Sus scrofa: one gene and its partner. The protein of the gene in region 2 interacts with the protein of the main gene of each other region in a biochemical or structural test. Links are inferred from orthologs where the notes say so. Each region holds a gene or a part of one and is shown on either strand. Other genes may lie near its edges. The genes, in order: LHX3 and RLIM.

Region 1 (4,585 bases), on a different chromosome or scaffold from region 2:
GCGGCGGGCGGCTCCTTCGCCCCGAGCGGGTCGGAGAGCAAGCAGCTCGCGCGGCGCCGCGCAGGGCGGGTCCTGGAGGGGAGCCTCGCCCGGCCCTGCCCCTGGTCGCCTGCCCGCAGCCCCGGCAGCGCGGCAGAGCCGCACGGACTCGGGGAAGGGGATCCGGAGGCCCCGGGGAGCACGGCCGGCCTCGGCGCTGGATCAGGAAGGGGCATTGGAAGGGGCAGGGCCGGCGGGCGGCAGGTCCTTTGGATTCCGAGGTCTGTGTCCGGTGGATGCCCCATCCCCATCATTTAAGGACAAAAACAAGCCCAAAATGAAGAGAGAGTGAGCCCAGCAGAGTTCTACAAACTTGGGGGCCTCTTTTGAACAACCGCTTCAACAATTCGTAAAATTCATTACTTTGAAAAATTGCTAATGTGCCAGCCCAGCCGCCAACCGAGAAGCCCCAGGACACCCAGCCTGGGGAGCAGGAAGGGGTCTGGAGAGAGGCGCTTTCAGGGCTCCGGCCTTGGTTATCGTGGGGGTCCAGGGGGGTCCTCGGGGTGGCCCCCTTCCCCGGGGCAGACCGTAGCAACCCCTCCGCCCAGCGGCAGCCAGTCTCACTTGAAGAAGTCGTCCTTGCAGTAGAGGCTCTCTCCGCGGCTGAAGCAGCGCTCGGCCAGCGGCGTGTGGCAGTCACTGCACTTGAGGCACTTGCTGTGCCAGTGGCGGTCCAGAGCCTTGAGGATGAAGCGGTCCAGGATGTGCTGGTCGCAGCCGGCACACAGTGGGATCTCTGCAGGCAGAGGAGCCCCCGTGGTCGTGGGCACAGATCGGGGGGCCTCGAAGGCACCATCCCACCCCCGCCCCCAGGACCAGGGCCGCGGAGGGGACTGCCTTCCCTGCACACCCTCGTCCCCGGCCGGCTTGAGCTCAGGTTCAGGGAGTGCGAGTGCGGGGCGTGGAAGTCCTCAGCCTGGCCCACAGCTAAAATTCAGGACAGATGAACTAGGTTTAGAAACAGGCCCCTGGGCAGGAAGGTGCCCAGGCCACCCCACAGGCCTGAGCTCATCAACTGTAAAATGTTTCCAGGGCACAGAGGGGCACGCTGAGCTCAAGCAAAAACCCCGACCCGAGGGCTCTCTCAGAGGCTGGGCTGGACGTCGGGCCCTCAGCATCCCCAGAGGCCAGGCATGTGGGGGTCACGGGGCATTCACCATCCAAGCGCCCTCACTACCTGCACAATTAGGCGTCGTGGTACCTAGAGACACCTTGCAGGTGTGGCTGCTCAGCCCCGGGGTCCTGTCTGCAGGCCACCAAAGTAAAAACTGGCGTCCCGTCTTTGGGAGGCCCTGCTGGCACTTGAGTGGACTGGACTCACGAGCACACAGTAGGTGGTTTGCCCCCCACCCCAACACAGAGACACTTGGGTTCCTGCTAATTCTGCTCCCGGGGACTACGGGCCGCCAGGGAAACCAGGCTGGGGAAAGGCAGGGGTTGCCTTCCGGAGCCACAGGCTCATGAGCGGCTTTCAGGGTGTCCATGGGGTGAGGACTCCCCGTTAATTTGGAAAAGGTCTCCGGAGAGGAGAGAGCCATGAGCAGGAATTGGAACCACTCAAACATCACGCGAGCTCACCTCGCTACCTCGCTGCGGGACACCCCTCCAGCCCTAGGCCGGCCCGGCAGGGGGTGGAAGGGCCAGAGAGGGCTCGACCTCTGCTCCAGGCTGAGAGAAAGTGGATCAATCTCCCTCCCACAGCCCAGGAAACCCGCGAAGGACAGGGTCCCGCGTCGGACAAAACCGCGGCCCTGGGAGCAGAGCCTGGGGAATATGCTGCCCACCCTGGCCCCCCATCCGGGCTGGCGATGGCAGGACGGCGAGGACCCCCGGCACCGGCTGGTGGCTGGACAGGCCGGCGCGGCGCAGATTCAGCACCGCGGCCCGGACAGCGCCCCGACCGTGCTACCCCTGGAGCCCGCGGCCGGCAAAAGCCGCTCCCGCCGCGCCCCTCGCGCTCTCGCGAAGCGCCGGCGGCCCGGGTCTTACGCTGCATGGCGACTCCAGCCTTGGCGGGGTCTCCTACCGTCAGCGCTGGCGGGGCCCAACAGAACCTTGCGCGCCGTGGCGCTCCGAGCCCGCGCCCCTCCCTCCCTCTCTCTCGGCCCTCCCACCTTTTCCTCCCAGCTCCTGTGGCCGCCCCTCCCAGGAACCGTCGGAAAATAAATAAATAAGCAGGAGCAGGATGAGACCCCTCAGCCTGGATGCAACCCCTTTCCCACCTGCCCCCGCCCCCTGCTCCCACCCCCGGGCCACCTCCTTCCCAGTCCTGTGGGTCCCGCCTGCTTGGAAGCCTGCAGCGAACCGCCCCAGTTCGAGAGCGCCAAGGCGGTGGGAGCGAGGCTGCTGCCACCCGCAAGCTGAGGGCTTGCCTGTAGGAGGACTGCCCTGAGTGGGCCAACACAGCAGGTGCCTGTGCGTGCGGACCCCGAAACCCCAGCTGGGGACCCTCCACGGCCAGGACGCAGCTCCACGCTGGCCCTTTCATCTGACTCTCTTCCCCTGGAAAGGGTGAACGGTCTGGGCACCAGCAGCCTTCGTGGGGACCTTCCTCCCCGTGGTCACTGGGACCCACGTTTGCTCTCTGCACACTCTCCCCATCAGGGAGAGGGTGTCCGAAATCGGTCCTGGGACCCAGAGCGCTCCCTGGCCCGAGCAGCACCAGCGCCACGACCAAACGCCCGACAGCACAGCTCCAGGGGCTCAGGCAGGGACGAGCTGTGCTAGGGCCCTGACACCCGGTCCGGCCCGCGATCCCCGGCTCCCGCAGCTTCCGTGGCCAGGCCGGGAGAGGAGCGAGGACCTCCAGGTCTCCTCGGGGTCCGCCCTCCCAGGCGCAGCCGCTCGGCCGGGCACCCACCTCGGCGCAGGTCCTCCCTCCGCGCCAGCAGCGCCAGCAGCAGGTCGCCGCCCGCCGACTCCCGGCTGGGGCCCAGCTCCCCGCGCGCTTCCATGGGTCCCGCCGCCTGGCGCCGCGGCTCTCGGTCCCTGGACTTGCCGGGGGCCCGGTGCGACCACGGCTTCGATGGCCCCGGGCCGGCGTGCCAACGTCTCCCGGCGCTGCTGGGCGCTGCGCCCGCCGGCCGCCCAGGGGCCCGGAGCCACGGGCCGCGCGGAGGCGGAGCGGCCGGGGGCGGGGCCGAGGCGCGGGGCGGGGCCGGGGTCGCGGGGACGCGTCGGGGGCGTCCGCTGGCTTTGCGCGCCTCGGCGCGGAGGACCGCGGGGCTCTGGCGCGGCCCCGAGGGCCCGGAGCCGCAGGGGAGGAGCCGGGCCGGGGCTGCCCGAGGGCGCTTCCCCGGGCCGTGCAAGTTCCAGCCCCGGCGCCGGCGTTGGGCTGCGGCCTGGGCCCGGGCTCGCCCGGGTAGGCTGGGGGCCCAAGCGGGGCGGGGACGGAGGGGAGGGAGCCGGGTCCTACCGCCACTGAGGCTCGGACTCGAGAGCGAGCCGGAGCTGGGAGGCTTGGTCACAATGTCGAGCCGCCCGAGCGCACCCCGACCCAAAGAGGGTGAGTGTGCCGCCCTAGGACTCAGCGAAGCCACCAGGAGCCAGACCCGAGCTGGGACCTGCCAGCTCTGAGCAGCTTCTGGGCCTCCCCCTGGAAACTACAGCCCAGAGTGGGCGCAGGGAGGGAGGGTGAGTCTCCGGAGGGGAAACCCAGCGTCCTTCGCTCCGACTCCTCCGGGATGCGGCCAAGATGGACTCCAGGTCAGGAGGGACGAAGCTGGGAAAGCCAGGAGCCACTCTGACTCCCCTCCACCGCAGCACAGGAGGAAGGCTCAGTGCCCGATTCTCCCACACCCTGCCCCCAGTCCAAACAGGTGAGCTTGCAGGACCCACCGTCCTCATCATGTGAGATGCTCGCCTACCCCAGAGGGCAGGCCCAGGCCAGGCCAGCCCCCCGCAGCCACCCACCGTCAGGACACGGCAGTGTGGACCCTGGCAGCGCAGGGCGTGGTGAGGGCAAGGGACCTCAGGAAGTGTTGGGGACCAGAGGTTGGTGCCACCCCCCCCCCCCGCCCCGACGGGAAGCTCCGCCTGGAGTCCAGTGATGCCCCAGCATCACCCTGCCCCCTCCTGGCCTCCAGTCGCCTGGTCTGTACACGAACTTGCAGGCCGGCCTGGAAGGATCTCGGCAGGAAAAGCACAGCTCCTCTTTGCTCTGAGCCACCCTGCGGCTCAGTTTGAGCAGGAGCATGTGCCTGCCCCCTCGCTTTGCCCTAAGCTTGCTCCCCAGAAGGACAGGGCGAGAGGGTCTGAGCCAGGGAGCTGAGAGGGTGCTGGGTATGCTGGGCCGTCGGCGGCCGTTGAGTGTCAGCTGCTGCAGAGGCCTGCCTGGGACGAGCCATGTGTGGTCTGACTGGAGCAGGGGCGGGCGGGCCCATGCGCTGGGCATCTGGCCGGCCCGCCAACAATGCCTCCATTATCTCCCAACGTCTTTGCCATCGATGGAATGGCCCCTGGGGAGGGCGGTTTAGGCAGGAGACTCGACCCAGGGGCCTCTGTGCTGCATCTCTGAGCTGGCATTAGGGTTGCGGAAGGAGGC
Region 2 (4,299 bases):
ACCTGAGTTAAAATGGGGGCTCTACCACTTATTAGCTACTTAATTGAGGACAAATTACCTAATCTCTAAGTCTCAGTTACCTCTGTAAAATAGGTAATATTCTCATGAAGCCTCACTGTAAGGATTACCAAATCATGCATGTGAAGCACAGAACCTAGTATATAAGTAGTCAGTACAAATTAGTTATGAGTCTAGGCTAACTACTCATACCAGGTTGCCTGGAAAAATCCAGGTTTGCAACTGTTGTCCAGGCATAATTATTAATAATGTCCCTTTTGCTCTTAAAAACATCCTAGTTAGGGCAATAAATTATGCAGTTACCTTAATGATGATGAAAGGAGTTAATACTAATTAAAGTACTATATATCAATTATGACTTTGGGTATCTCAAAGGAAAAAAATCGAATACCACACAAAATATGAGATTATATTCTTGTAATATAGTCTGATGGTTCATTTAATTATTCAATAAACATTCAAACACTATTTATTTGTACACATCCCATTCCAACACTGATTTAAGGCAGTAAGTTTCTATCTCGTTCTTTCTCTTCTATACAGGTATTGGTAAACCTCACACATTATTTTAAAAGATGAAAATTCAGATAGAGCACTAGTGAGTTTCAGCTACTCAGGAACACTACTCTTTGAATACCCAGTGAAAAACACTCATTCTGATTATGAAGAATGCCCAACACCAACTAACATGTATCAAATAAGCCCATCCAATTACAGGGCCTGCAAAACAGAATAAATTATTTTTAAACATGCATTCTACACATAAATTATCAGGAGACGCAACAAAAAATAAATTACCTGACTGTTATGACATAGTATTGTAATACAATAAACTGGATTTTAGTTTTCTTCACTCTCTGCTCTAGAAAAAAAAAGAATCCATTATTCTTCCTCTTTGATAAGATAGACATTTTCTTTGAAACAGACACATCCTAAAAAATACATATTCTATATATTTTTAGATACACACACATACATACATACACATACCATAACCCAACCTAATTCAACATCAATATTAGGATATTTGGGGAGACTGAGGTCAGAGGGATATGTTAGATATAAGACTTCCTTTAAAGGTTGAGAGCCAATCTACATTTGATATAAACTTGATTAAAATAGGCTTTTCCTTATCATAACAGTAATTATTTTCGGATACTCATGGTTACTTTCAAGAACTTATTTGGCACACTACACTAGCCTAAGGTAGAAACTAAAGTATGAAAGATTATCCGGACATCTTAGGCTAAAGAATGAAGCATTTTTTTCAGTAAAAGAGTATACTAAATGAAATTTTAAAAAAATTTTAGATTAGTCTTCCTGGGCACTTTATTTTTACAACTTAGAAAACTGATTTTTGGAGAGCGTTAACTGTGCCTGCCTGCTCTCAAGTCATCCAGGACGGACATAATGTACCTGATGGGGTGATATGAGTGTTCTTTAATCACAAAGAATCAAAGAAATGATTTGTAGTAGTACGTTTATTTCTTCCTCCCTTCAATCATCCAAAGCCACTGCGGTTAATTCTGATTCAGGAAATGCGGGCTCCTTATATCCAGCAAAAAATTACTATGGGGCCTTGCAAATAATGGATCACAATGTGATATAAATGCTTCCTCTTGCCCCAAAACGAAAGAATGACCTAAATAAGAAGCCTGCTAGGCCTCAGATTCTCGGACTAACCTGTGGAATAAGTATGGTGAAACTGTCTAGGGAAGGAACGTGGCTGTCTCCTCCATCTTGAAATTAATCAGCATAAGGGAAAAAGGGACTGAGCATTCAGGAAGCAGAAGCCCAACCGGTTAATACTAGTTACTAAAGCTATGGCGTACGTGGCAGGTACCGCCCGCAGAAGCCGAGACCCTTAGGCCTCTTTTTTTTGGGGGGGGGAGGGGTTGAGTTGTTGGCGGATCGAAAGGAAATTAACTTCAAAATCATTTGGCCCAATTCCCACACTCACTCAGGGAAAAACAACAAACACGCAACGGCTTTTCCCTCCCTTTTGGGGGGAATGCTTGCAGTGATATCTGGCAAAGGATACGCCAGGGTTATTTGAGCAAAGGAGTAAACCACATTTGCTTCAGATCCTCAGGGAAGATGGCATCACGGCCCCAGGGGGCGTCTAATTGATAGTGCCCTACAGAAGGGCTCAAAATGGGGTTTTGCAAATCCTGAGAAATCTAAAGGCCCAAGAGCTCTCACATCTAACTTAGAGCAGGCTGATTTTTTGCCCCCATTTCCTAAATCCAAGCCCGCCATGTAAAAGGGAGGGGGGGAAAGAGGCGAGGTAAGTCTCCAGAGGACCGAAGAGAGAAAAACCTGAGACGATCAAAGATTTTCACGCCTAAGGCCAACACTCGAAAATCGCCTCCCCCAAATTCTTAAGGTTCTGAAGGGCTCAGGCTGAGGCTCGCGAGGCCACGGAGAGGAAGTACTACCCATCTCCTTCCCCTTCTTCAAAGAGCCGGTTGACTATACACCCAACTAAAATGGCAGCGGCGACTACGCCACGGAGCCCCCCACTGCAACCGGCGCCTGGGGTCCGCAGGCGGCGCTGACCCTCCGCCACGATGCGCCACTCAGACCATTTTGAGAGAACGCGGCAGTCACAGCTCCGCTGTCTTCTCGCTCTCCATCCATTTCTCGGAGGACTCACTTACTCGATTTTAGTGTCGTGATCCGACTCGGTCGGTTCGGCCGCCGCCGCCGCCGCCGCCGCCGCCGCCGCCGCCCCGCCGCCCCGCCGCCGCCGCCGCCGGGGCTCCTGGGCGCCTCCCCTGCCGCCGCTCTCAAGCCCGCCTCCGATGAGTCGCTGGTTGAGACCCGCCTCTAACCCAGCGCCTGCTCGCAGACGTTGCTCAGGCAGCCATTATCTTCCCCATTGTTACCAAGCAGCGACAGGAAACGCCCGCCCACAACAGGAAGTGATGATGCCGCGTCTAGCCCCGCAGCCCCACTCCCAGCCTGTTAGCCAATCCCCGGCGATTCCTCGAAAAGGCTCGGTGGGAGGAGGAGAGGGACCGCTGACGACGCGGCAAGGCGGGCCACCGCCTGGAAAAGGAAAGCTGCTGTGACGCCCACCATGTGACAAGCCACACCCTCCTCCGCCATTTTGAATTGTGGCGAGAAATTCACGTTCTGAGAATTGTGGGAACCTTTGCTTTCCCATTTTGAAAGCTGGAGGACGTCACCATCTGATTGCTGGAAGCCCTTTTCCGAGAGTGAGAAATGTGGTGTTAGTCTAACCTGACGTCGATTCACAGAATTAGTCCGGGCCTGTTAATACAGCGTCCTACTTTTATTCGACATATATTTATCGAGCGTAAACTGTGTCAAGCACTGTTAGAGATGTTGGGATACAGCGGAAATTAAAGCAGGCCAAAATCCCAGTTTTCGTGGGTCTACTTGGGGAAGGGACAATAGTTACTATATATGTATATGTTACATATGTATAAATGCTAAGGAGAAAAAGCGAGGGACAGTGGTGGGAGAGTGTCACGACAAACAGGAATTTGCGGTTTTAAAAAGAGTGGTCAGAGGTGGCCTCGGATGGTAATTCTGAAATACTTGAAAGGGGGCGGTAATTGTAAAAGGGTGGGAAAATCTGATAACGTTGGAATTTAAGGGCGGTTAAGGAAAGACTTTTCTTGGATACTAATGCCTGAATTGGAATCTAGGGAATAAACTATCCCGCTTCCAACTCCCGCTTTCACAGTTAAAAACAACCGTACCCAGGTCTTTAGGGTGTTTCCATGTTTCTTGTCCCATTTTTCTGTTTTCTTTGTTTTCAGGTAACACTCCAGCTACACTGGCTTTCTCACTACTCTTCCAGCAAACTAAACTTGTTCCGACCTCTACAACTTTATATAGGCTGGAATTTTTCCCTTAATATCTTTGCTCTCATCATCCGAGCCTTTTCTCAATTGTCATTTCCCTAGGGGACACTTCCTTAACCACCCCACCTGAAATTACAACTTCCCTTACCTGCTAAATTTTCTTTAAAGCATTTTGAAATAAATATTTGAAAATATTTGTTTACCTCAACCATTTAAGAACAGTAAACCCCTTTGTTTTGTTCACTGTTTATATCCCCAGTGAGCTCATAGTAGCCCTCAAATATTTTTTGAGACCGTACAGGCCTCAGCATGATGGCCATTTCATCAGCCAGGAATATAAGTGTATTTCACTCCAAGCAGTTAACAACAATATCCCTCATACTTCCCTGCTCAACTTTTCAACAGTCTTGATATTGTCATTTTTAACAGTAGAGGAATATAATTT

What was found.
Region 1: the proteins of RLIM (region 2) and LHX3 form a complex in vitro, tested with the Homo sapiens proteins (2 studies listed by BioGRID). The link is inferred for Sus scrofa from reciprocal best matches to the Homo sapiens genes RLIM and LHX3.

Annotation. Positions count from the first base shown.
Region 1 is NW_018084833.1:1,474,053-1,478,637, reverse strand, and holds the start of LHX3 (LIM/homeobox protein Lhx3), read right to left. Parts: upstream 2,997-4,585; coding exon 2,903-2,996; intron 2,115-2,902; exon of another isoform or gene 2,039-2,114; coding exon of another isoform or gene 2,032-2,038; intron 779-2,031; coding exon 607-778; intron 1-606. UniProt on the Homo sapiens protein: Transcription factor.
Region 2 is NC_010461.5:59,917,435-59,921,733, forward strand, and holds the start of RLIM (E3 ubiquitin-protein ligase RLIM), read right to left. Parts: upstream 3,031-4,299; 5' UTR 2,679-3,030; intron 881-2,678; exon of another isoform or gene 817-880; intron 1-816. UniProt on the Homo sapiens protein: E3 ubiquitin-protein ligase.